Linked DNA regions of Rhinolophus ferrumequinum. The main gene of each other region encodes a partner of the protein of the gene in region 3 in a complex. Links are inferred from orthologs where the notes say so. Each region holds a gene or a part of one and is shown on either strand. Other genes may lie near its edges.

Region 1 (7,166 bases), on a different chromosome or scaffold from region 3:
TTGTGGGACTCGAGGAATTGAACTGGCAACCTTGTGGTTGAGAGCCCACTGGCCCATGTGGGAATTGAACCGGCAGCCTTCGGAGTTAGGAGCACGGAGCTCTAACCGCCTGAGCCACCGGGCCCGCCCTGTGTTTAATAAATGTATTGAGCATCGATTATGTCCTTGGCACTGTGGGGGAGGTTGACAAACCAAAAGTCCTTGTCATCCAGGGACCTTGCCTCGTAGGGGTGCAGAGAACTAAGCAGACAGTCACAAAGCAGTGGGTCAAAGGCTGGCACGGGGCTAAACAGCATGTCAGTAGGACTGCGGGGGGATGCCTTAGGCTCTGCCAGGCTTCCTCAGACGGAATCTATCTAAAGAAACAATTTGTGCATGTGTTGGTATTTTATGATTAAAAGCTCGCCTATAATCTAATTAGAAAGAACCTTGTTAGAAGTAATCAACAGATTATGTATCTTCTAATTAACAGTAACATCTCCGGCATACGGTAATGTAATTTGAGAGAGCTTCAGTAATTGTGCCCGTTAAAACAAGGCCAGCCTCTTCCTTCTCTTTTGTATCTGTGCTCTTTGTGAGTGGAGTCAAGGCTGATGAGGGAATGTTTGGTTCACCCTTGTCATGCAGGGTGTCATGCAGGGTCTCTGGTCCCGCTCCCCACACAAGAACGCAGGACATGGTGAGGCCAAAAAGGAACACCCACGGAGCCATAGATAGGGGAGTCATACCACTACTATATTCTCGCTGGTGGCTGGGTTGCAGACACAGGAAACAGGATCCACACGATCTGCAACCCGCCGTCCACTTCTGTCTGCCAACCAACCAACCCCACATGCCAGCTGCAATGCACCATGCTAACTGCAATCCGCGCTTGCAGGCTCAGCCACCATCTTCTTGCTAGCCCCCATTTTCTGCTAGCGTAGCCACGGCAGTTATATTAGTGGCCAATGGCTCAATGGTTACAGCTGACGGCCAATGAGCCACAGCTGATGGCCATCCAATCACAGTTGATGGCCATTTACTACCTGAGCCAGCAGCACCTTTCCACGTGAGGCCGACAGCCTGGAAACTGCACTCCTGTCCCCACAACCCTAGATACTTGCCAATGGGTCAAAATCAGCTGATGATACCCGTTCTCCCTCTAGTGAACCAAAGGGATGGACACTCATAATGAAAGCCGCTTGCTTGGTGAAGGCACCAAGCATGTTGCCAGTTTCACTCTGAAGCCTCCCCAACCACAGAAGAACCCAGTGCTGCTTTTCGCTGGAGGCACACAGCAAACATTCTGTTCGCCAGTGATTTACTACTTAACTTTGGCTTTGATGAACGGGTCGAGAGAAAACAAAAATTGTAGAGGATAAGGAGAATGGAAGTAAGAAGTCAAAGATTTTACTCCCTTCATTGTTACGTGTGTGTGGCTGGATAAGTATATTATTATTTTAAAAAGTATATTCAAGCTGTGGAATGTAGCCAGGGATTTTAATGAACCTTTATTGGCTTCAAAGGAAACACTTTGGGTTAATCTAAGGGAATTAGTGAGCTTTGAATTGAGACTGACTTGACACTACACAGCTTAATAAATCCAAAGGGATTTAATAATTAGCTTAATGCACAGGAATTTTGGGGTGTCCTGCCCATTGGCTGAACCTTCCCACATACGGCAGAGGATCAGTTCTCAGTATCAGGCCATTGAAATTATGGAATTGCTCAGATACAAAAAGGCTTTCAGCAGCTTTTTAGGAGAAGTCAGGTATACTGCTGTTTGTGTCTCTGGACCTGTTTTACTTAACCCCTATAAAACTGACCGCTAACCCAATTTTGGAAGCTGAAAAATTATGCGATACAAAATGTAGTTCCATCCTAAATATCACAGGCCTTTTAAAGAGTGGCAACAAATGGAGAATAAGTTGATGGAGGATAACGTGCTGAGAGGAGCCGTTCTGCCGCCTCTTCTCATCAGCCATGTCAACGGGGCAGAAAGGCTCTAGCTTCCCGGATCTTCTGCCTCACTCCTCGGCAGGACAGGGTAAGGCCAGCGTGGTGGTGCTTCAGGGACTCTAAGCGCTGCCGGAGCCCTTCCGTCTTGCCCACCTTCTCTTCCAGGTCCCGAAGGAGAGACTCCTTGCCCAGAAGGCCACTCTTCAGATTCAGCTTGATGTTGTCAACCCGCAGGCTGTCTCTGGCTTGCTTAGTCTTGGTCAGGATGTCCCTCTTTAGGGCCACCTGAGTCTCAATGTCCAAAAGCTGTGACTTTCTGCCTGCATTTTCTAGTTCCATAAAGTGGAGCTTTTCTTTCACGTGGGTAATTATTTGCACGTTGTTGTTCACCTTCTTGCGCAGTTTCAAAAGCTCCTCATTTCGCTCCTCAACTTTCTCATTGAAGGTCTGGTTCTCAATCTTAAGCTGTTCAAAGTCGATGAGCAGCAGGCCCCCGGCCATGTCCTCCTGGGCACTCATCCTGGTATCGAAATGCACCAGGCCCTGCCTCAGCTGCACGTTCTCCAGCCTCACGGCACTCATCTCCTTCTGCTTCTTGTCCTCCAGCGCCTGGATCTGCTCTACTTCTCGCAGAGCGGCCTGGCGACCGCCCCTCATCCGACAGCTGCCCATGGCCTGCAGCATCACCTGCTTCTTGAGCGCCTGGAAGTCTCGCCACGCCTTGTCCACCTTGGTCAGCTTCTCCTCGCACTGCAGCTTCAGCTGGTCCAGCTCCTGGTGATACCAGTCCAGGTCGTCCGCCTGATGCTTCCTCAGCTCCTCCAGCACGGCGAGGTGGCTGAAGTATGCCTCCTCCTTCTCGGTGGACTCGGGCTCCGCGCCCCTGTCGGCCCCCTCGGCTGTGTCCAGGCCCTTCTTCCTGCGCAGCGCATCCGAGATCTTCTGCTGCAGGTAGATGTTGTAGCGCTGGTAGCAGCCGCGCTCCACCACCAGGGAGCGGTACTGCTCCAGGAGCTCAGTGCGCAGCTGCCGCTCCTGCGCCTTCTGCACCTCCTCCGTCCATTCCAGACCCTCCTGGAGCCCCTCGTCCAGACCGTGGCGCTCCAGCTCCAGCTCGCTCTTGGCCGGGCTTCCTCCCACACTCTTCCCCTCGCTCTCGTCCTCCTTCACCTCCTCCTCCCGTCCCTCACGCTCAGCCTCCGGGACGGTCGCAGCCTCTTCCTGGCCGGTCGTGGACAGCGGCAGAGAGCTCCGCGACGGGGCTTCCTTCCGCCTCTCCTCCGCTTCCTCCTCCCTCTCCTCCTCCTCGGGTTCCTCGGGTTCCTCGGGCCCGCCTTCGGACTCCGGCTTGGCTGGCTCCTCAGGTCCGGCCTCCGCCACCTCCTCTTGCTCGGCCTCGGTCGGCCATTCCCGCTCTCCGGGCCCCTCCTTGCCCGCGGCTTCGGTGGCCTCTGGCCCTTCCCGGGGCTCGGCGGGCTCTGTAGGCTCGGCGGGCTCGGCCGGCTCGGCCACGGCGACGCCTCCCTCAGCAGCCTCTATGGTCTCCGGCTGCGGCTCCGGCTCCGCGGTGTCCGCCGGGGACTGGGAGCCAGAGCTGGCCGTGATCTCGGACAGCCGCGCGGCCAGGCTCTCCACATGTCTGTCTTCCTGCTCAGGGTCCCCAGTGTGCTCCGAGTGGCTGTCCATCTCCCTCCGGCTCCGCCAGCGCCACTGACTCCAGTTGCCGGCTGTTAGGTTTCCAGGGGCAACCAGAGGCGCTCGCGGTGGGTCCGGCGATTGGCCAGGCGTCAGCCCGGCGCCCTGCCCATTCTTCCCGCCTTCCTGCAGAATCAGGCCAATGAGAGGCCGCAAGCGAACGAAGGGAGGCGTTGATTGGGAGAGGGAGTAGGCTCGCGCCGAGAGGGGCGTGGCGCACCCGCAGCGTTAACTTTCCGCCCAATTCCCACCGCCAGGCCTGGGGCGGGGCGTCTGGAGAGGCTCCGAGGGGCGGGCGGCCGGCGCAAGGGGCGCGCAGGCGCAGAGCGGCGCGCCGGGTCCCCGCGCGGTGGCGCGCGCGGGGCGCCTGCGCGATGCGGCGGGGCGACGGCGGCGGCGGCGGCGGCCGGGCCGGCCGGAGGGCGCCTGCGTGCTGAGGCGGGACGCGGCCCGGCTGGCCGGCTCCGGCGGCGCCTGGGCGGGGCGGCGCGGCGGCCGCTGGCGGCGGTTGCTGGAGCGCGGCGGCGGCCCGGGAGGCGCCGAGGGCGGCGGGCGCGGCAGCGGCGGCGGGCGCGGGCGGCGGGCGGGGGAAGATGGCGGAGCTCGGTAAGAAGTACTGCGTGTACTGCCTAGCCGAGGTGAGCCCGCTGCGCTTCCGCTGCACCGAGTGCCAGGATATCGAGCTCTGCCCGGAGTGCTTTTCTGCCGGCGCCGAGATCGGCCACCACCGCCGCTACCACGGCTACCAGCTGGTGGACGGCGGGCGCTTCACGCTGTGGGGGCCCGAGGCCGAGGGCGGCTGGACCAGCCGCGAGGAGCAGCTGCTGCTGGATGCCATCGAGCAGTTCGGCTTCGGAAACTGGGTGAGCGCCGTCCCTACGCGGACCCGGGCGGGAGGCGCCGGGGGGCTCAGTCCCTTGTTCGGCTAATGCAGCCCGATGCGCACCTGCCGGTTCAGCGCACACCACCGAGGGCCAGGCAGGCAGACGCAGCTCACGCGGGGAAACCGGAGCGCAGAGGGGTTAAGCAACACGCCCAAGGTCACACAGCCAGGAAGTAGCAAAGCGTGGATTTGCACGGTGGCTTTCGGCTGCAGAGCCATTTTTCTACCCTTGAGCAGTACTTCCACGGGTGTTTGCTGAGTGCGGACTATGGGCAAGACCCAGCGCCTTACCTGAGTAGGAGTGGTGGACGTAGGCAGGTTAGCAACCCTGACAGCAGTGGGAGCACTGGGAGGCACTGTTTTGCCTGGAGAACAGTGGTGGCGAAGGCCAGGCAAGCTTCACACACGCCCTGCGGCTGCTGTCACCATCTCTGATACACTTACTTTGTACTCACAGCCTGCTGGCTTTGTGCGGTTCTCTGTGCGTGCGCCCTTGTCCCCTGTTAGGGGCTTTTTTATCCTGGGGTCCCCACAACACCCAGGACGTCGTGTGAGGAGGGGGTCAGTAAGTACCGAACAAAGGAGCATGGACGAGGACGCGTTTGTCCTGGGTTTTGTTCTCTCTTCAGAAAGCTTCTGTGGTGACTTTTATCTGCCAGGAAAAGGGGAGAGCTGGGCTGGATTCATTTATACCAGCAGGATAGGGTGCGGGGCTCCTCGAGAGAGAAACGCGGGTGCTTTTCTCTAGGTGGTCTCTGAGGAGCTCTCTTCCCGCTCTGGAAGTGGAAGCTTTCGGCCGTGTTAGAAAGGAAAACCTCTGGCTGTGTTCTGGCCCAGAACTGCCAGGTTTGTGGCGGCCTCCTGGCATTGTGAGAAATAGGACAGACGTGACCCCAGCTCCCTCGTCTTTCCAGAGCCTTCCCTGTGATGGTCCCCCTACTTCCCTGAACCAGCAGTTCATCTTACCCCTTCCGCAGCAGTACTCCCCTCCTCCTGGGCTCCCTGTAGAAGACATTCCACACTTCTTCCCTCATTCCCAAACCTGTCTTGCTGTTACTTCCTTTTGCTTCTTTTCCATAAAGTGAGCCCATCTTCAGGGACCAAGACCCATTCTGCAGCGATTCTTTACTCTTCTCCCAGCTCCTTAGACACTGCTCTGCAAATTCTCAGCTAAGCAGCAGCATCGAGCTCGCCACCCTCCAGAAATCGCCATCTCACTTTGTCTGGAAATGCAGTTTGTTGATGTATATCAAACATGTTATACGATAGTGAAACACTCTGAAGGCAAGAAAGGTTTCGTCTTTGTCTTCAGGGCGTTGCCAAGGTTGTGACCGTTGGGTCCAGAGACTGGAACTCTTCCCCAGCTCCAGGCTTCAGTGTCACAGCGCTACCCGACGTCCTTACCTGCATGCACATCCCAGCCCTACCTTACTCACATCTCACATCACCTCACCTGGTGACTCAGGCCGCACCCGAGCAACCATCCTCAGCTCCTCCTTTCATGTCCAGTGCGGCAGCAGCTCTGTCTTCAAACTGTTTCCAGAATCGAGCCACTTCTCACAACCTCAGTCCAGGCTGATACTTACCTCTTGCCTTGACCACTTCTGGAGCCGCCTGTCCGATCGCCCGGCTTCGCTCTTGTGCCCAGCGGCCCATTCCACACGCCGTAATCAGAGTGATCTTGGAATGTGATGTCACATCCCATCAGCCTGCAGTGGTTTCCAGGCCTGCTCAGATTCAACTTCTCGGCCTCTGGGGCCTTCCAGTGTCTACCCACCCGTGGGATCCCAGCGGCCTCCCCTTGATCATGTGTTACTCCTTCTGCTTAGAGGGCTCTTCCCCAGATCACGGTCCATGACTGCTCTTTCTCCTTACATGGCAGTGCCTCAGGGAGACGTCCCTTGCCCACGTCACCCTTACAGCACGTAGCTGTGCCGTAGCCACGCATACAGCTGACGTGGCGGGAGCCTTGCCGAGTGCCAGGTGCTGTGCCCGTCTCCTTAGACCTTCACAGCAGCCTATACAGCGGGTTGGAACTGTGTAGTCGGACTTCAGAGTCTGAGCTCCTAGCTGCACTGTCTACACTGCCATCCGTGCAGCATGAAAAGCAAGCCCAGGGAAAGTACATGAAAAGCAAGCCCAGGGACTAAAACATTTATAGTGTTTTGGAGGAAGCAAGGGGCTGAAAGGGTGGCATTCTCTAAAGCAGTACTTTTCAAACTTTAATGTGCACACGAGTCATCTGGGGAGCCTGTTACAATGCAGTTTCCCACTCAGAGCCGGTGCAGCTGTTAGAAGAGACGCAGCCGGAGGCCTGGGGGCCAGGCGCCTTCTCCCTGGTGGGTTCAGGGGGAGGCCAGAGGTGTGCGTGCTAACCGCCTGGCGTGCTGCCCGCCTGTGGTCCCCAGGCCGCGCTCTGAGCCGCGGGACTCCAGTAGGCTTCTGGCTGTGCTCTCTCGGGCTCACTGATTGACCCTCGAAACTTCGTGTTCTTCATCAGAGGCTCTTGCGCAGCCCCGAGGTGTGTGGCTCCCTTCAGAGCAGAAGAGCGGCTATGTGCCCATAGCGGTACGCTCCGCGTGTGCCATTTTAGCGCATGCCCATGTGGACCGGGCTCTTCCATGCACGTCGCACGTGCTCTTCGCAGCAG
Region 2 (7,972 bases), on a different chromosome or scaffold from region 3:
TCTGTAGGCAACAGTATCTAGTCTGAACTTAGTGACACTGTTTTGTTTTCATTATGTTTATGTTTATTTTTTAGACTCCCTCTATTTGGTGAGTGATACTGTTTTCCCACTTATGGCATATTCTTTTTCAAACTAATTTGAGAAGAAAAGTCAGTTTAAAGAAACCCATTCAGTAAATAACTGTCCAGGTGGCACGTAAATACAAAATTGTGGAGATGGTGGGAATGTCAGCTGCCTGAGGCAACATTGTACTTTGTTTTTCACCCTAAATCTCACTTTCAGAATTTATGGCTATCAAATTGGTACTGGTACTATTTATTTTTTGTAGTGGATTCTTCCTCATTACTCAGGAATGGTTCCATGCCCTGACACCACACTGGCCCATGGCCTGAGCTGCTACATTCAGAACAAGGCCTACAGGACAGAATGGCTCACTCTTTATTCTACTGACTGGCTGAGTTTGGCAAATCATTTCCTGGGTACATTTAAGGAAATAGAGGGTTTCCTTGCACCCTGGTCTCTCGGATGGGGGATCCCCGGCCTCCTAGGGAGGCAGGGGCTCCATGGCGAGCTCACCTGTTTCACAGCAATGCTGACCCGTACAGAGTTGATGGAGCCCTCAATCAGAACCTTTTCCTTCTCATTCCTGCTGATGGTCACAGGCTGTAACAGGAGCTCTTTGCTACTCCTGAAAACACAATGTCACAAATGCCTCTGTACTATAGAGGAACAGAATGCTTAGGGACACCCCACAGCAGGTCCTGGAATCACTATCTGAGACCAGAGTCCAAGAAATAGGAGACTCACAAGCAGGGGTGCTCCAAGATGGGGGCCAGTGAGTGTGTTCTCCAGTGGAAAGAGCACAGGCTCTGGAGTCAGGGCGAAAGGTTTTGAAATCCAGCCTCCTCTGTTACTTTCCTTGGGCAAGTTACCCTCTTGGAATCTCAATTCTCTCATCTGTAAAATGACTGATTCCTATTTCACTGGCGAGGACTGAGAGAGATCAAAAAGGGTCAAGTGTCCAATAGCGTGCCTGGCACACGGTAAGAGCTTTACAAATGGCAGCTCTTATTTTAATAACTATAGGCAAATCCACATACCATTTAGGGAACAAAAAGAGGGACTACCTTAAAAATAAGGACAGGCTAAAATCAAACACAGTCAATCCAGAATGACTCACTTATTCAGCATTAAGACCTCTCTCAACTCAGTTCCCATTCTGATGTCTCTACTTCCCTAGATCTATATAATGATAATTCACTGTGGTGGTGGTGTCTGTGAATTGTTGTCATTTTAAAACGCCTAGTGGAGATCATATATGTAAAGTAGCATAACATGGCACATGCTAACATCTTGTGTGTTTTTAAAAATTCAAATCATATCAACATAGTGTGGTAACACCACATCTCAGTTATAGATGTATGTCCCAGATTAAACTTTAAATGGAAAAAAAGAATCATCTGTTTATAAAACATGAACTAGATGAGAGAGAGACTATAACCCAAAATGCAGAATATCTGGAGTAGGAGATGAGAGAATACAGTTTGGGGGTGGAGGGGGGGGAGAAAAAATCCTTGATCTTTAAGAAAAGGATGGAGATGGCATCTAACTAAATCCTCTCAGCCAGTGGGTTCAATAATGCCACAGGAAATACTTCATGAACAACTCTACTCTGAAAAGTCATACCTTGTGTCAAGCAATCTTGGCTCCAGAGTAGATTCTCCCCTGGGTTTTGTCCTGCCAACCTACTGACCCTATTTTCTGAACTCCAAATTGGGAACCATTGTTCATCTGGCAGCAAGACAAAATATGTGAACTGTGGTTGTCCTTCCAGGATGGAAGTTCATGGCACCTTCTCAACAACAGCCACCTCTGGGGCTGTACCTATCACCCCTACCCTGAACTTTTCCTTCCCTACCTGACTTCCACCTCCGGCTTGTTGTGTCGTTCCACGACCTGGGAGGAGAAATTCTCCAGGCAGAGGGCAGCCTGCAGTGTGGCCCGCACGGCACTCAGGTAGGGGCGGAGAGTGGCAGTCTGTAGGAAAAACCCCAAAGGAGGATCAGAATCTGTCTCACCAAACACACTGGTCCCCTGCTCCAGCTACACAGGAGCCAGGCAGTACTGAGGGTGCTGGATTCTCAGACACCGAAGAACAGACTAAGCCTTCAAGGTGCCTTCCAGTCTAAGTCTGGAGCAGTGGTTCTCAACAGGGGACCATTCTGCCTGCCAGGGGACATTCGGCAATGTTAAAACATTTTTTACCGACATGACTTGAGATGGGGGTGCTACTGGCATTGAGTAGAAAGAGGCTGGGCAAACTGCTAAACCTTCTACAATGCACAACAAAGAGTTGTTCAGCCCCAAATAGTGCCGAGGTTGAGAAACTCCGGTCTAGAAGCATACAGGTAAATGAATGATTGTCCTCAATCTGTCTTTTGAGCCAACAAATGGATAAATCTACTATGTGCCAGGCACTGAGCTAGGGGCTGGGAATTCAATGATTAAGACCATCTCTACCCTTAAACAGCTCAATGCGGGGAGAGACTATGATACAAAGAAGAATAACTGAATTAGATTTACAAGTTATATTTGCAGAAGCAATTGGCTTTGATTTGAAGATGGAAATACAATTAGGAGTACTTTAGAATGAGAAAAAAAGAGTAAGGGCATTCCCACTAGAAGGATCAGCTTCTAGCTACTCTAACTCATCTTCATTTCCTTACATTCGCCAAGTTCTTTTTCCCCTCAGAGTTTCACACTTGCTGAACTATCTATCTGCAGGCTTTTCTACCCTCTTGTCGCCTAAGTCATCCTTCAGATCTTGGTTTATTCAGGGACAGCCTCTTCCTTCCTCAGAGAAGTCTTTCTTGACTTCCCCTTAGTAACAGTTCTTGTAATTTACAATGATACATCCTTCAAACATCTTTAGTAAAGCGATTTCTCTTTCACTAGACTGCAAGCCTCAGGGTCAATAGACCGCGTCTATTTTATTCAAATCTACATATCCTGCTCCTAGCTCAGTTAGTACCTAACCTATATAGTGTCATTCATTTTCTGTAGAATAAATGAATGAATGAAAGCTGTAACTTAAGCAAGGTTAGGATTAACACAAAAGGGCATTAAGAGTTCCAGAAGTAATAATGAGTACAATGTTGCTGTAGGAAACATATTTTAGATTTAGTAAACAAGGCTGCAGTGGTAGTCTGGAGATTCATGGGGAATCTCAAATGCCAGGCTACTGAGTTTAGCTTTTCTTTTAAGGTGGTAAAGAACTGCTGGGACTTTCTGAGGGGGAAGTTATAGGACCACAGCTGCAGGGGGGCTCTGTGGAGAATGGATTGGAGAGGGAAGTAAGACATAAGGCAGAGAGAGTTATTCAAGGAGTACTGATGAGAGCCTAGACTGGGGCCTTAGAGAGGAAAAGCACAGCAGTTCGACTATAACATAAGTATCAGAGCAATTCAACTGTAACATAAGTATCACAGCAGTTAGACTGTAACATAAGTATGCCAGCGATTAGACTATAACATAAGTATCACAGCGGTTAGACTACAACATGGTTAGACTATAACGTAAGATGTAGATAATCATGGAATTAAAACACCTCCCAACAAACTACGCTCCATTGATACAATTAAATACTACTCAGAAATGAAAAGGAGTAACTACTGATACAACACGGATGAATCTCAAATGCACTATGGTAAGAAGCCACATTCAAAAGCCTACATACTGACAATTCCATTTATATTACAATATGGAAAAGGCAAAATTATTGGGGGGTTAAAATCAGTGGTTGCCTGGGGTCGGGGAAAGAGGAGGAGGCCTGATTACAAAGGGACTGGCGGGAACATTTTGAGGTGATGGGAATGTTCTGTGCCTTGATGGTAGTGGTTACGTGATTGTGTGTGTCAAAATTCATAGATGATAAACCGGAAAAGGGTGAATTTTAGGTGGCCAGCCCCATGACACCTGCCCTTTCACAAATAAAACAGTCTCATGCAATACCTCAATAAACCTGATTTTTAAAAAATCAAGAGGTATGGCCAATTTAAGAAACAAAGAAGGAAGAGCGAGTTTAGGAGAAAAGAGGAGTTTTGATCTGGAGGTTTAATGTCAAAGTATCTTCAAGATATCCAGGCAAACCTTGGGAGACACCAGAATACACAAGGTCATCAAAGCCAAGGGACTAGACAGGTACATTACTCCCAGGAACGTACACATTTATCAAACAGGAGGATTTCCAGGGAGAGAGATCAGCAGTATCAGATCTTACAGTAAGGCAACAACGTTTTTGTTCTGACCAGGAAGGGGCTCGGGTGGAGGCAGCTTAAGAAATCCTTCAGTACGGTAGAATCAAGGTAGGGGGTAAGGAGAAGAGTGGGATATGGAAGTGTAGACGCTTCCCTGGGGAAACTAGAGAGTCTGGCGGGCAGGAGAAAACAGAGCAGTGCATTTAGTGAAGTTCTATTCCGGGTGGGGAGGTAGCCCTACCACCTGAGCGCTAGCTACTACGAGCCTAGGAGGTCTCACTTCCGGCTTCCTCCATGCCTCAGGTATTCCCTACCTGTCTCCAAAGACAGACTGTGAAGTCACCATGCCTACTTCTTACGAGGGCGTTCCCCGCTCGCCCCTTCCTCCCTTCGACCCCCACCCCGCCTTCTTTCTCCGAGCCTCATCGTGCCCCCAACTCCCCAGCATCCCTCGGCCCCAGGCCTCTCCGCTGCAAAGCCGTATCTCCCCCAGACCCACAACTCTGAGACAGAATGGGGGGGGGGGTCCCTGGCCCGGGGCCCGGCTCTCTCACCATCGCGGGCGCTGGCTGGGCCGGAAAGCGGAAGTACGGAAGTGGCCAGGCCCGCGACGCCTGCCCTTTCGCGAGAAGCGCAGCCGCAGTCTCCGCCCGGACTTCCGGACAGTACCATCTGTGCTCCGAGCAGGGTGAGGAGAGCCTCGGAACGCTGGGTCCCTTGGAAGTTTTCCCGCTAGGACTGCCTTGGTATCTTTAGACTGCTGCAATTTCAGGTCGGTACTCAAGCTTCTCCCGTTATCCATGCAGCTCTCGCTTGTGACTTTGGCTTTCTTGTCCTATTTGCCGCTTTCTTTCCCCATAGTCATGCAATGGTGCCGCCCGGCCGAAGGTTGGGCACCATATTTGGACAAGGCGAGGCGGAGGAGCCCTGCGTTCCTTCCGGTTCTGCGCCCCCATCCTTCCCCCGAGCCCCTCCTACCGGCTGCCTCTGGGGCTCGGCGGAACTAAATGCCTGACCGAAAACCCGGCTGCCGAGCCCCGCCCTCCAGCCCTTGGCTGTTCCCTCGGGTACCCGCGGCGTAACCCCCACCCCAATTGCAGTGGTCCAGCTCACGGCCCGCAAACCCTCCCCCGCAAGGCACCGTGAGCTCTCCCTCGCGTTTCTCCGCCCCCGCGTCAACTGCAGGGGCCCCGCCCATAGCCAGTTGCGAGCGGTAGATCCGACCAACCGGAACTCCCCACCCCCTCTCGCGGCCCGGGGGCCGTAGGAGGCCAGAGTGTGGAGGTAGAGGGGGCAGGAGCCGCGTTAGGGGTCTCGAGTGGACGGGGACCCTGAAGGCGGGGCATTGGGGCGACCCACGGGTGGAGCCAGCCGTTAAGCAGTCCCACTTCTGTGCCAGGCACTGAACTGGGCTCTTGACGAGCATCATCTTTTAATCCTCAGAACATCCGGGGGAGGTAGGTACCATTATTATCCCCATTTTACAGATTCAGACTTCTTATGGGGAAACAGACCCACACTACTTTGTCCCCATTTTGCAGTTGGAAAAACCGAGACTCAGGAAAGTTAAATGGCATATTCAGGGCCACATACATAGAGAACGGCAAAGTTTGGGCTTGGACCCAGGTATGTCTGGCTTACCATATCACATTCTTAACCACTGTCGGGCAAAAATAACCGGCAAAGTGGGAAGGAGTGAGACAAGGTGAAGCAGGGAGGCACAATTGAGAATGGGATGCTTGGAGCTCAGAGGCTTAGCAGAACTCACGAGAAGAACAACAAAAGAAAAGAGCATCAGGAAGACGTGGCATAGTGTATCATGGTAGTGAGGGGCTCAGACTCAGAAATACCTGGATTCAAAGTCTTGGTAAGCTTGGGCATGTACCCACCCTTACAAAGTCTCAGTTTCCTTATCTGTAAAATGAAGAGCACCATGGTCCCTGCTCAGAGGGTGAGGAATCAGTGAAAAGCTGGTAAGATGTCTGCACCTTGCTTGGTGCACAGTGGGTGCTCTCGGAGTAATAGCAGTGCCATCAGTCTTGTCAATAGGGTACTGAAGTCGGGCTTTCTCCTTGAGGCTGTTCCTGGATGGAGGGAACCCTTGGGCTTTCCTTGTGCCACTTTACCTCCCATCAATGTCCCTCTCCTTTTCAGCTCCGCAGGGTATCCTGGGCCATGAGTGAGCTGAAGGACTGCCCCTTGCAGTTCCACGACTTCAAGTCTGTGGACCACCTGAAAGTCTGTCCACGCTACACAGCAGTGCTGGCCCGCTCTGAGGATGATGGCATCGGCATTGAGGAGCTGGACACTCTGCAGTTAGAGCTTGAAACCCTGCTTTCCTCTGCCAGCCGGCGCCTGCGGGTGCTGGAGGCCGAAACTCAGGTGATACCCTACAGAGACGACGTCACCAGGGGTAGACTGATAAGTTATGGGATGGCTCATTGAGTTCGTCCCATCTGCTAAGGCCTGGGGTACAGGAGGTTGCAGGGGGGACAAATTGGGTTCTAGGGACACAAAATAAGCAAGAACATGTGTGATCTCCATAAACTGCAAGATTTCTAAGCATTTATTGACAACACAGCCCTCCCGCCCCCGACCCACCCCTTATGTTCTGGGTCCTGTGCAAGTCATTAGAGAAAGATAATTAAGACAATTCTGGCCTTCAGGGAGTTTGCTAACTATAAGTGGTGGGGGGCTGGTTAGACAAGTACCAGGTGATGTGTTATGGTTAGGGGGAATAGGGGAACTGGAATGAGGAGAGGATTTGAATCCTGGACTAAGCACTAGTTAGTGTTAGTTTCCTAGCTCTGTGACTTTGGGAAGATTACTTCCTATTTCTGAGCATGTTTCCTGTCTGCAAACTGTGCCGAATAATAGGACGTACCAAAGAGGATTTGTGAGGATTAAGAGAGGTTTTTTGTTTCGGTTTTTTTTTGCGAAGTCTGAGCCCAGTTTCTGACACTAAGTCAGCATTTTAAATGTTAGTCATTGGCACTACTCTCATCTCTCTTCACTGCATAAACATCCTCTGGGGCCTGTGTGCCAGGTGCTATGCCAGATCCTGGGGGACAACTGGTTAAGATGAGCTTCCTGGTCTCCAGCAGCTTATAATCTAGTCAAAAAGATAAAGTATGCTGTGCATTTTAGTATGTCCAAACAAGATGTTTGGGCCTACAGTGAAGGTGCAAAGTGCCAGGGACTCATAGAGGAAGAAGATGCCATTTCAACTGGACTTTGAAGTATGAAGAGCGTTGACTTGTGGTCCCTGAGAATCCACTGAAGCTTTTTGAACAGGGTTGTGGCACAACCCGTTGTATTTTAGTGTCTAAGCATCAGGTAACTGATGTGAAGAAGGCTTCCCAGTTGTGACTTTCAAAATGAAGGTTTGCTGGGAGGCTTGCTTGCCTTCACCAAAAAGTTTCCACCAGCATATTTTCCCAGACCTAGCATGCACTGGGGTGTGATCACTTGTTTGGCCTTGCTACTAAACACCACCGAGGTGAATCAGAATACAGACAAAATGAATGGAATGATGAGAAGTATCTGAGTAAAATCCTGTAAGATGGACACAGAAAAGGAGCTGGGTTTTAAAGGATGAGTAGGAGTCTGCTAAATAAAAAGGGGGTGGGGAAAGACTTTAGCGCCTCCTCAAGTTCTAGATCCTGATTCTTCACTGGGGGAAACAGTTGTCCTCTGTCTTCCCTTCCCTCCCTCAT
Region 3 (7,741 bases):
TAGATCTCCTCCTCCAGCATGGACAGGAACCTGTGGAGAGGGGACAGTCTGTCCCACACTCTGTCCAACCAAGGGACCAGCCTGGGCCAGACACCGGGGCACTGGACGTGGATCAAAGAAACAGATCCTGTTCTCAGGAACTGGGAGCCTAAGAACAGAGACAACTTCTGCCTTCAGATTAGGGGGAGGCACAGTCCTCCTCCTTCTGGGAGACCCTCATCGAAGGCAGAAGGGCAGTACAAAATCCAAGACAGAGACCAGAGGCCCAGTCTGCCAGTGCACAGATGAGGGAGACAGGAGCTGAACTGGCACCGTCCTGTACTATGTGGCCAGACAGGGCACCAAGTCACGCTCGTCCTCAGCGCCAAAATAGGGCCCAGAATCCACCCCTTCCTGCCACCTTATTCCCATCTGGGGGCAGAAGGGGCACTGGAGGCCCTGGATTAGTCAGTAAAAGCTTCTTGAACTGGACAGCTATGAGCACGTTTAAAATGAGAAGAAGGTGTGGCAGAACAGAGAAAAATCTTACTGAAAGAACTAGGAGTGGAAACTGGTTTTACCTCAAGCGTAAACTCTGGTCTTTTGAAGTGTTGTGGTAGAAAGGATTCTGAGGCTGTGTCCAGGCCCCATGGAAACAATTAGTAACGTCTACCAGGGGTGTGGACAGGGCTAGTGTTAGCACTCAGGCCATGTACCTGCCATCCCCAGCCTAATACACACAAAGGCAAATGCTAGCAAGTTGTGTCTGGCCCATGGGCACATCTGCCAGGTAGATGCCCAGATCCCAGAAGGCTCATGGAGGGAGAGGAAGGACCAATCCAGGAAGCCTTCCTAGAAAAAAGGGGACATCAGGGAGGATGTGAACTCGGGGCTAAATCACGATAGACCAGAAAGAGCCTTACTTGGGGAAGTGGGTGAGGATAAGGGTTCTCTTCTCGGGCACCAGCTTGTCCTTCTCCACCCGGAACTTCTCTAGCAGTTGCCGCCGGGTAACAGTGAAGATGGAGCGGAGAAGGCTTCGCCCAAAGACATGAGTGGTCTCGTAGCGGGGGAGGCTATCGCAGCTCTGGGGCACGTGGCAGTAACAGAGCCATCTGCAGGGAGTGCGGAAGTGGCAAGTGAGAGTGGAAACCACCGAACTCAGGCTGGGCCTACAAGCTCCCCCCAGGCTGGCTGGGCCTACCTGGTGTAATTGACCTTGTAGGTTGCCACGTCCTCCGCCTGAGACCTCTGCCGAAATTGGGCAGGCGTCTCAAGCTTCCAGTAGTTAAGGCAGAGCAGGAACATCTTTGAGAGCTCAAACATCGTCTGCCGTTCCCGAGGAGCCAGGTGACTGAACTTGTACTGCACAAAGTTTAGCACACCCTGAGAAGGGGTGGGCAGGAGACAAAACCAGGAAGGAGGTGTGAGCAGCCAGCAGGGGCTTCTTATCCCAAAATAGAGGCTTCCTAAGGGCAGCGGCAAGGCTCTCCTCTCATTCTGAAGCTCTATGTGAAGAGAAACTGTGCCCCTCCCACACACACCCTGAGGTTGGCACAACACATGTTCCCCTCTTGGAACCTCTCCCGTTCTCAGTATGATGAGGATGGAGAACACAGGCTCCCCATTCCTCCAAATGCCCCCAACTCTCTTGCCCCCTTCTTCATCCCACCTGCTCAATATTAGGCTTCTCAAATGGGGGGCTGCCCAGAGACCCCTCCACTACGGGCCGGGTCATCTGCAGGATGCATTTCCGCAGGAGCTGGAGGAAGAGGAAGAGGGAGGCGTAGAGGTCAGCAGAGCTCTGAGATGCAGACTTCCCAGCCTCAATTCCTTTGCTCGCTCACTCTCCTGCGGAGAAAGCTCACCTTGAAGAGGTAGAAATAGACCTGCTTAGTGTCTGTGTCCTCCTCCTTGTGAACAGACATGAACAGATTCTCCACGTCCACCACCATCCCCAGCAGACGGTTAATCTCATCCTCTGACACATTCTCCAAGTGGGACACGTGGTCAGCTACAAGAACAGGTGGTAGAATTGGGAAGAATAGACAGAAGACATCAACAGGGCTTTCTGGCCCTCTTCATCGCCAGCTATGATACACTCTCAGTCTCTTCAACCACTGTGACCAGCACTAAGACTGACTGCTCCTGTGTGTCAGCCCTTGGGTGACCCCTTGTTTCTTCTGAATTGGCAGATTTCCTTTCTCCTCCCTGGGGAGATACACATTCCCAACCCAATTCTTCCTTAGAAGGCATCTTAAGAGATGAAGCTCTGCGGCACTGAAGTCGTCCTCTCCAAGCAGCACCAGGCACTTGCCTCTTCCCCGCCACCAGCTCCAAGGCACTATCTGCCTTACCCAAGGGGTGCTCACAGCTGCGGCACAGCTCACTCAGGTTGGCAGCTGGCTGCTGCAGGTCCATGCGGGGTGCAGTGGGGGGCTTGGGGTTTTTCCAGCCATTACACTTGCAGGTTTCATTGGCCTGGAGGCAGAAGGATCAGTCAATAAACTTGTACCCCAGGGACGTGGAGCCGCTTCCGAGCCAGGGCTCCCATTGCCACCCGAGCCCTAGGATGTCCCAAGCCCCGCCCTCTCACCCCAGGCCCCGCCCCCACCTTGCAAGCCGAGAAGACCCCTAGCTTCTCAAGCTTCTTGGCACGCGGCAGCCCCCGGACTTGCGCCTTCCTCTGGCTGGCGCGCTGCTGCTGGCTCAGGCCAGGTCGAGCCGGATCCCCCCCGGTCCCAGTACCCCCACTTCCTACCCCGGGCCCCCCCGTCCCGGTGCTCCCGGCTGGGACTGCAGCTGGGGCGGGGGCTAGTGCCGGAGTGGGAGCCGGAGTCGGCGCCGAAGCCGGGCTGGGGGTGGGAGTCGGAGTTGGGGCAGGGGCTGGAGACTGAAGGGGACGGGGCTGCGCGGCCGGGGCCGGGGTGGAGGCCTGGGAAGGTTCCGCCATGGCCTCCCCCGCAGCGGAGCGCGGCGCAGCGCTCCCAGCCCTAGGGCCGCATGGGCAACCGGCGCTCAGTGCGCAGGCGTCGCTGCTTCGGAGCATTATGGGAGTTGTAGTCTTCCACCGCTGCTCCTTTTGCCTCCAGCTTCCAGACTTTTCTATCCTGTCTCTTGGTCCCAGACAGCCAAGAGAAGCCCAAGCCAGCACCCCAGATTGAACCCCTCTTCATTTTCAATCTCTCTTGAAGGCTTCCAGGATAGTCAAGATTGCTGTCCTCTTGGGGATAAGGAGAAGCATCCCAGAAAACAGGCTTCTGGTTGGGGGACTTCCCTCCCAAGACCCGATGGTGGACGTGCAGACCTAGCGTCTGGGGTCGAGTTGGCTTCCTGGTACATCTCCCTCCCCCCTCCATCCTGTTCCTGTCCCACATGTCTTCAGAGACAGAGTTGCAGCTACGGAGGAGATTCAGCAGCAACAATTCTAGTTCTTGATATGTGAAGTGGTTACACACGTGTATTTCTCTTTGGAATACTTCAACTGTACCCTTTTGTGTGCTTTTCTGTACGTATGTTATACTTCCACAAAAAGGGCTTATTATAAAGCAGCACCAGAGGCATGGCTGTGGTCACGAAGAAGGCTGCCAAGGAGGGTATGAAGTAGAAGCAGACAAGGGCAGAAGCCTTTCCCTACGTTTGGTAACGTCTCTTCCCCAATACCATCGGTACCTTGAGGGTTGGACCGGCGTCTTCATCTTTGTGATCCCAGAACCCAGCTGAGCCTGCCGCACAGTAGGCCCAGCATGGATAAATGAGGGAAGCCAGGAAGACTGTGTCCACCTCCCAGTCCCCAATGTGTCACAGGTTTGTGCCTGGTCAGAGAAAGGCAGGACATTCCGAGAATGGATGATCCAGTGGTCACATTCCAGTGGCTCTGTCCAAGGGACAATCTTCTTGCCCCTAGGATACCCAGTTGGGCTCCAGGCCGGCCATGGGGAGGGTCCCGAGAAGGGGCAGGATCCAGGATAAAAGCAGTAGGGGGCGCTCCAGGGTGGCTGACAACCTGACCTATGGATGTAGGACATGCGTAGCTGACCCCATACTGCCTAAGTGAAGGGAGCCCCACTGAACAGAGCTGAGCCGCGAGGAGTGGGAGTGGAGCCAAGCCAGAGTAGAGCCGCGCGTGGCGCAGGAGGGTCCCTCCTCTCCTGTGTCCTGCGTAGAGCACTACACTTGGGCCTCGCGCCCTTGAACAGCAGTTGCTCACTTGGATGCAGCGGGTCAGTAGCAGTCTTCCCAAAGGGAACCAGGTGATGTCGCGGTCCCCCAGCGTAGCCCTCGCCGAACAGAACCGAGTGGCCGTACTGCCGGTGCAGCTGCTCAGGGAAGACGTGGCAGCTGCGTGGGACGATATCCAGGTGGAGAATGGTTTCCGGATGAAGATGGATGCCCACGGCTTCACCCCAGAGGAGCTGGTGGTGCGAGTGGACGGCCAGTGCCTGATGGTGACGGGACAGCGGCAAACGGAGGGCCACAACCCGGATGGGGGGTGCTACTGCATGACAGAGAAGATGCAGCAGCAAATGCAACTACCATCATACCTGGATCCTGCAGCCATGACCTGCTGTCTGACCCCCTCGGGCCAGCTGTGTGTCCGTGGCCAGTGCCAGGCGCTGCCTTCCCCTAGAGCCCTAACAAGTCCATCTTCGAGACTCAGGAGCCCTGGCTCTAAGAAGGGTTCCAACCTAGCCTGACCCGGTAAACCACCACCCTAGTGAGCAGCTGCCTTGGCGTCTGTGGTCTTTTATCAGGGTTGGGGTCAGAGGTGGGGGTATAACGAAGGTAGAGGGAGGCAAGAAAGGCACCTCAAGGTGGTGGTCCACCAAGAATTAGGCCTTTGTGGCCCTGGTGGGAGCTGGGGGTGGGGGTTGGAGGTGTGTTGTCCTACTCAGCTCAGCTCACTGCTTGGACCAATATCCTCAACCTTTGGCAGATGAGAGCAGCAGCGCCAGCAGGGAGCAGCAGAGGGCCGGGAGGGCCAGAGTGTCACCTGGTTCCAGAACCGGCAGAGGGCTCCCCAGAGACCAGGGAGCAGATGGCTTAGACCTGGTGTGAAGCTGCTGTCTGGGCCTGACCATCGCTCAGTCCAAAGCTCCAGAGGTCATAGGTGTTTCTTCCTCTTCAGGGAAGAGGGGAAGAGGACCCAGTCCCTCACAGGCCTGGTACAGAGTAACCAAAGACCCCAGAGTTTTTTTTGGTGTTTCAGAGACCAATTATTTTCAAACCCAGACTGCAAATCACCCCAATGTAATCTGGATGGGGTGGGGGAGAGGCAAATGTAGGACCCTCTTCAAACTCGGTGAGATTCAGTTCCAAGTCACTCTTACCCCAACCCCATGCAGTAGCACCGGTAACCAAGGGCCTCTTTCTCTTGGTTACCATGAGCACCAGCATCTCCTCACTTGGGTGGGCGGGGCTTTTGTTTAACAAAATTCAGTGGTTCATTGTAAATTAACCTCAAAGTAAGCCAGAGAGGATATGGTCTGATAAGCTCTGCCAGAGAAAGACAAGCGAGACAAGCGGAGGTCGATCGATCGGCTGACTATATTGACAAGATACTGATTGGTTACATGTTGAAGAAAACATACAATACAAAATACAGAAAAAGTTGGTTCCATCCCCTCCCACTACCCCCCTTACCCACCCACCCCCAAATACTCATCATCGTGATTTGGTCAGAACAGGGCTCAGAGCCAGAGGTCGGTCAGGGTGACCAAGGACGAGGAGGGTGGGGTGGGTTGTGGGCAGTGGGTTCGTGGCTGTCACAATAATGCTGTGGTTTTTCTCCCATCTGTGAATCAGGGGTAGGAGGGTGGGGGTGGGGGGCTGCAGCCTGATGCCAGGCAGCTGAAGGGAGAGCTGCCTCTCCCTTCCCTAGCCCCAGGGCCTGCCCCACCACCCAGAACCAAGCCCACCCCAAACACGGTAAGGATGTGAAGGCTCTTGCTGACCCTGCTAATCAGCAAGAGGAAAAGAGGGTAGTTGCTCCCACCCCTGCCTCCCCATATACACGGGTGGGAGGAACAGGGGCGGTGGCTACTACCAGCAAAGGGAGAGTGGGAGAGCTGTAGAAAGGGCAGGAAGTGGGAAGAGCAGAAGATCATATATATTAAAAAAGTGACTTAAGACTTAAAATTGAATTAGTATTTGTACAGAAAGGTGCAGGTGGAATAACTCACTCCGGCCTATGATCAAAATTATATGGTGAAATCATGGTGGACCCCTCCCCCTGCCCCCGCAGTGGTGGCCCGAGGCGTTAAGTGCGATTGGTTAGAGTGGATTCCAGTCGGGTCATTCAGGCGGAGGAGGTGGGGGCAGTGGGTGGGCAAGGGGGCTCAGTTGCTGCAGCACTGGCTCCGGCTGGCTGGGTTGTTCTCCTGGAGGTCCACACCTCGGTTCCGGCCTGGGGCACCAGCTGCGTTCTGGGGCTCGTTCTTGGGGAGCTTCTTAGCTGTTTGGGAGAGGAGGGAGAAAATGTTTGTGGGGGTAGGCCAATACTGTTTCCCAAGTCCACTTGAGTAGAATCTGGCCTTTACCACCCAATCAGTAATAATGAACATACTGAGGGCTTCACTTCCATGTGTCAGGTGCATTCTGAGTGTTTCAGGAAACTGAGGCAGAGAGAGGTTCAATGACTTGCTCAAACCCAGAGTTAGTAAGTGGTAGAGCTAGGACTCAAACCCAGGCAGGATGACTCCAGAGCCAAATGGCCTAAAAAAAAATCCTAAGAAGTGGGTAGGATGGTGACACAGGGTTTTAGATGGGTGGCAAGCTAAGAGGTCAGGAAATGAAATGTTGAGACTTTGGCCCAGGCTTTAGAAACTTCTGGAGTGAACTATCTATCTCTGAGAGTCAGATGAAGAAGAAAATGATTTTATCACAATATTAAAAATGGTGAAAGATCTGGTGGTGAAGGGACCTACTACGGAGCAGCAGGCAGGTTCTACGCCCCAATGTGGGGACGGGAGGAGAGGCAGCTCACCTATTGCCATGAAAATCTCATTCACGTTCATTGCGGTCTTTGCTGATGTCTCCATGAACAGCAAACTGTTGTCGTCTGCATAGGCTTGTGCTTCCTGATTTGGATAGAGGTGAGAAAGTGGGTGGGAGGGAAGTGTTGACAGTTGGTAGGGGCTGGGGCCCAGGATAAAAAAAAATCTTCCCTGATCACAGTGCCTTATACACAATAGCAACATTGTGCAGGGGCTTTTCAGGCTGCTAGCACTCCTGCTCTGGGTTCCTCTGAGACATCTGGCCCCATACCCCCCACTCAGGTACAGCACCTCTCAGCTCACAAACACTGGCAGATGTTTTACTCAGGTTTCCCTATGTCCATTCTGTCTTCTTGTTCTTCAGAATCACTAGGCTAGGAAATACTTCTAGAAAGTGATCCTACAAATATAGTTGCACATTTGAACAAAAGCACAGAAGTATGTGCATGTTGACTGCAGCACAAACAACCTAGAAGTCCATCAGTTAGGGACTGGTAAAAAAAAATACAGTATGTAGAACACACTCCCATCTATGTAAAGAAAGGGATTCATACACATGTGCCTATTTCTGGAAAGATGAGAAAGTGAGGAACTGGGGTGGGGGAGGGAGTTTGATTTTCTAGGATTAGAGACTTAAATTTCATTTATATACCTTCTTGTGCTGTTTAAATTTTACTATATGCTGGTATTACATGAAAAAAAGTATTTTTCAATAATTTCATTAAAAAGTCACTTTACAGAAAAAAACAAGCAGAGGCTTCAGCTCC

The links.
Region 1: KAT2A (region 3) and TADA2B share a complex: the UniProt entries of both Homo sapiens proteins name them as parts of the TFTC-HAT complex. The link is inferred for Rhinolophus ferrumequinum from reciprocal best matches to the Homo sapiens genes KAT2A and TADA2B.
Region 2: KAT2A (region 3) and TADA3 share a complex: the UniProt entries of both Homo sapiens proteins name them as parts of the STAGA transcription coactivator-HAT complex. The link is inferred for Rhinolophus ferrumequinum from reciprocal best matches to the Homo sapiens genes KAT2A and TADA3.

What each region holds. Positions count from the first base shown.
Region 1 is NC_046288.1:84,604,883-84,612,048, forward strand, and holds the start of TADA2B (transcriptional adapter 2-beta), read left to right. Parts: upstream 1-4,105; 5' UTR 4,106-4,226; coding exon 4,227-4,496; intron 4,497-7,166. Other genes in the region: CCDC96 (coiled-coil domain-containing protein 96), read right to left, coding at 1,966-3,624. UniProt on the Homo sapiens protein: Coactivates PAX5-dependent transcription together with either SMARCA4 or GCN5L2.
Region 2 is NC_046300.1:44,115,843-44,123,814, forward strand, and holds the start of TADA3 (transcriptional adapter 3), read left to right. Parts: upstream 1-4,911; 5' UTR 4,912-5,028; intron 5,029-5,210; exon of another isoform or gene 5,211-5,713; intron 5,714-6,410; 5' UTR 6,411-6,431; coding exon 6,432-6,638; intron 6,639-7,972. Other genes in the region: ARPC4 (actin-related protein 2/3 complex subunit 4), read right to left, coding at 577-688, 1,919-2,037, 4,811-4,813. UniProt on the Homo sapiens protein: Functions as a component of the PCAF complex. The PCAF complex is capable of efficiently acetylating histones in a nucleosomal context. The PCAF complex could be considered as the human version of the yeast SAGA complex.
Region 3 is NC_046304.1:37,969,285-37,977,025, forward strand, and holds the start of KAT2A (histone acetyltransferase KAT2A), read right to left. Parts: upstream 3,053-7,741; 5' UTR 3,029-3,052; coding exon 2,594-3,028; intron 2,461-2,593; coding exon 2,337-2,460; intron 1,994-2,336; coding exon 1,848-1,993; intron 1,742-1,847; coding exon 1,652-1,741; intron 1,366-1,651; coding exon 1,184-1,365; intron 1,095-1,183; coding exon 903-1,094; intron 31-902; coding exon 1-30. Other genes in the region: HSPB9 (heat shock protein beta-9), read left to right, coding at 4,194-4,676; RAB5C (ras-related protein Rab-5C), read right to left, coding at 6,318-6,433, 6,965-7,058. UniProt on the Homo sapiens protein: Protein lysine acyltransferase that can act as a acetyltransferase, glutaryltransferase, succinyltransferase or malonyltransferase, depending on the context.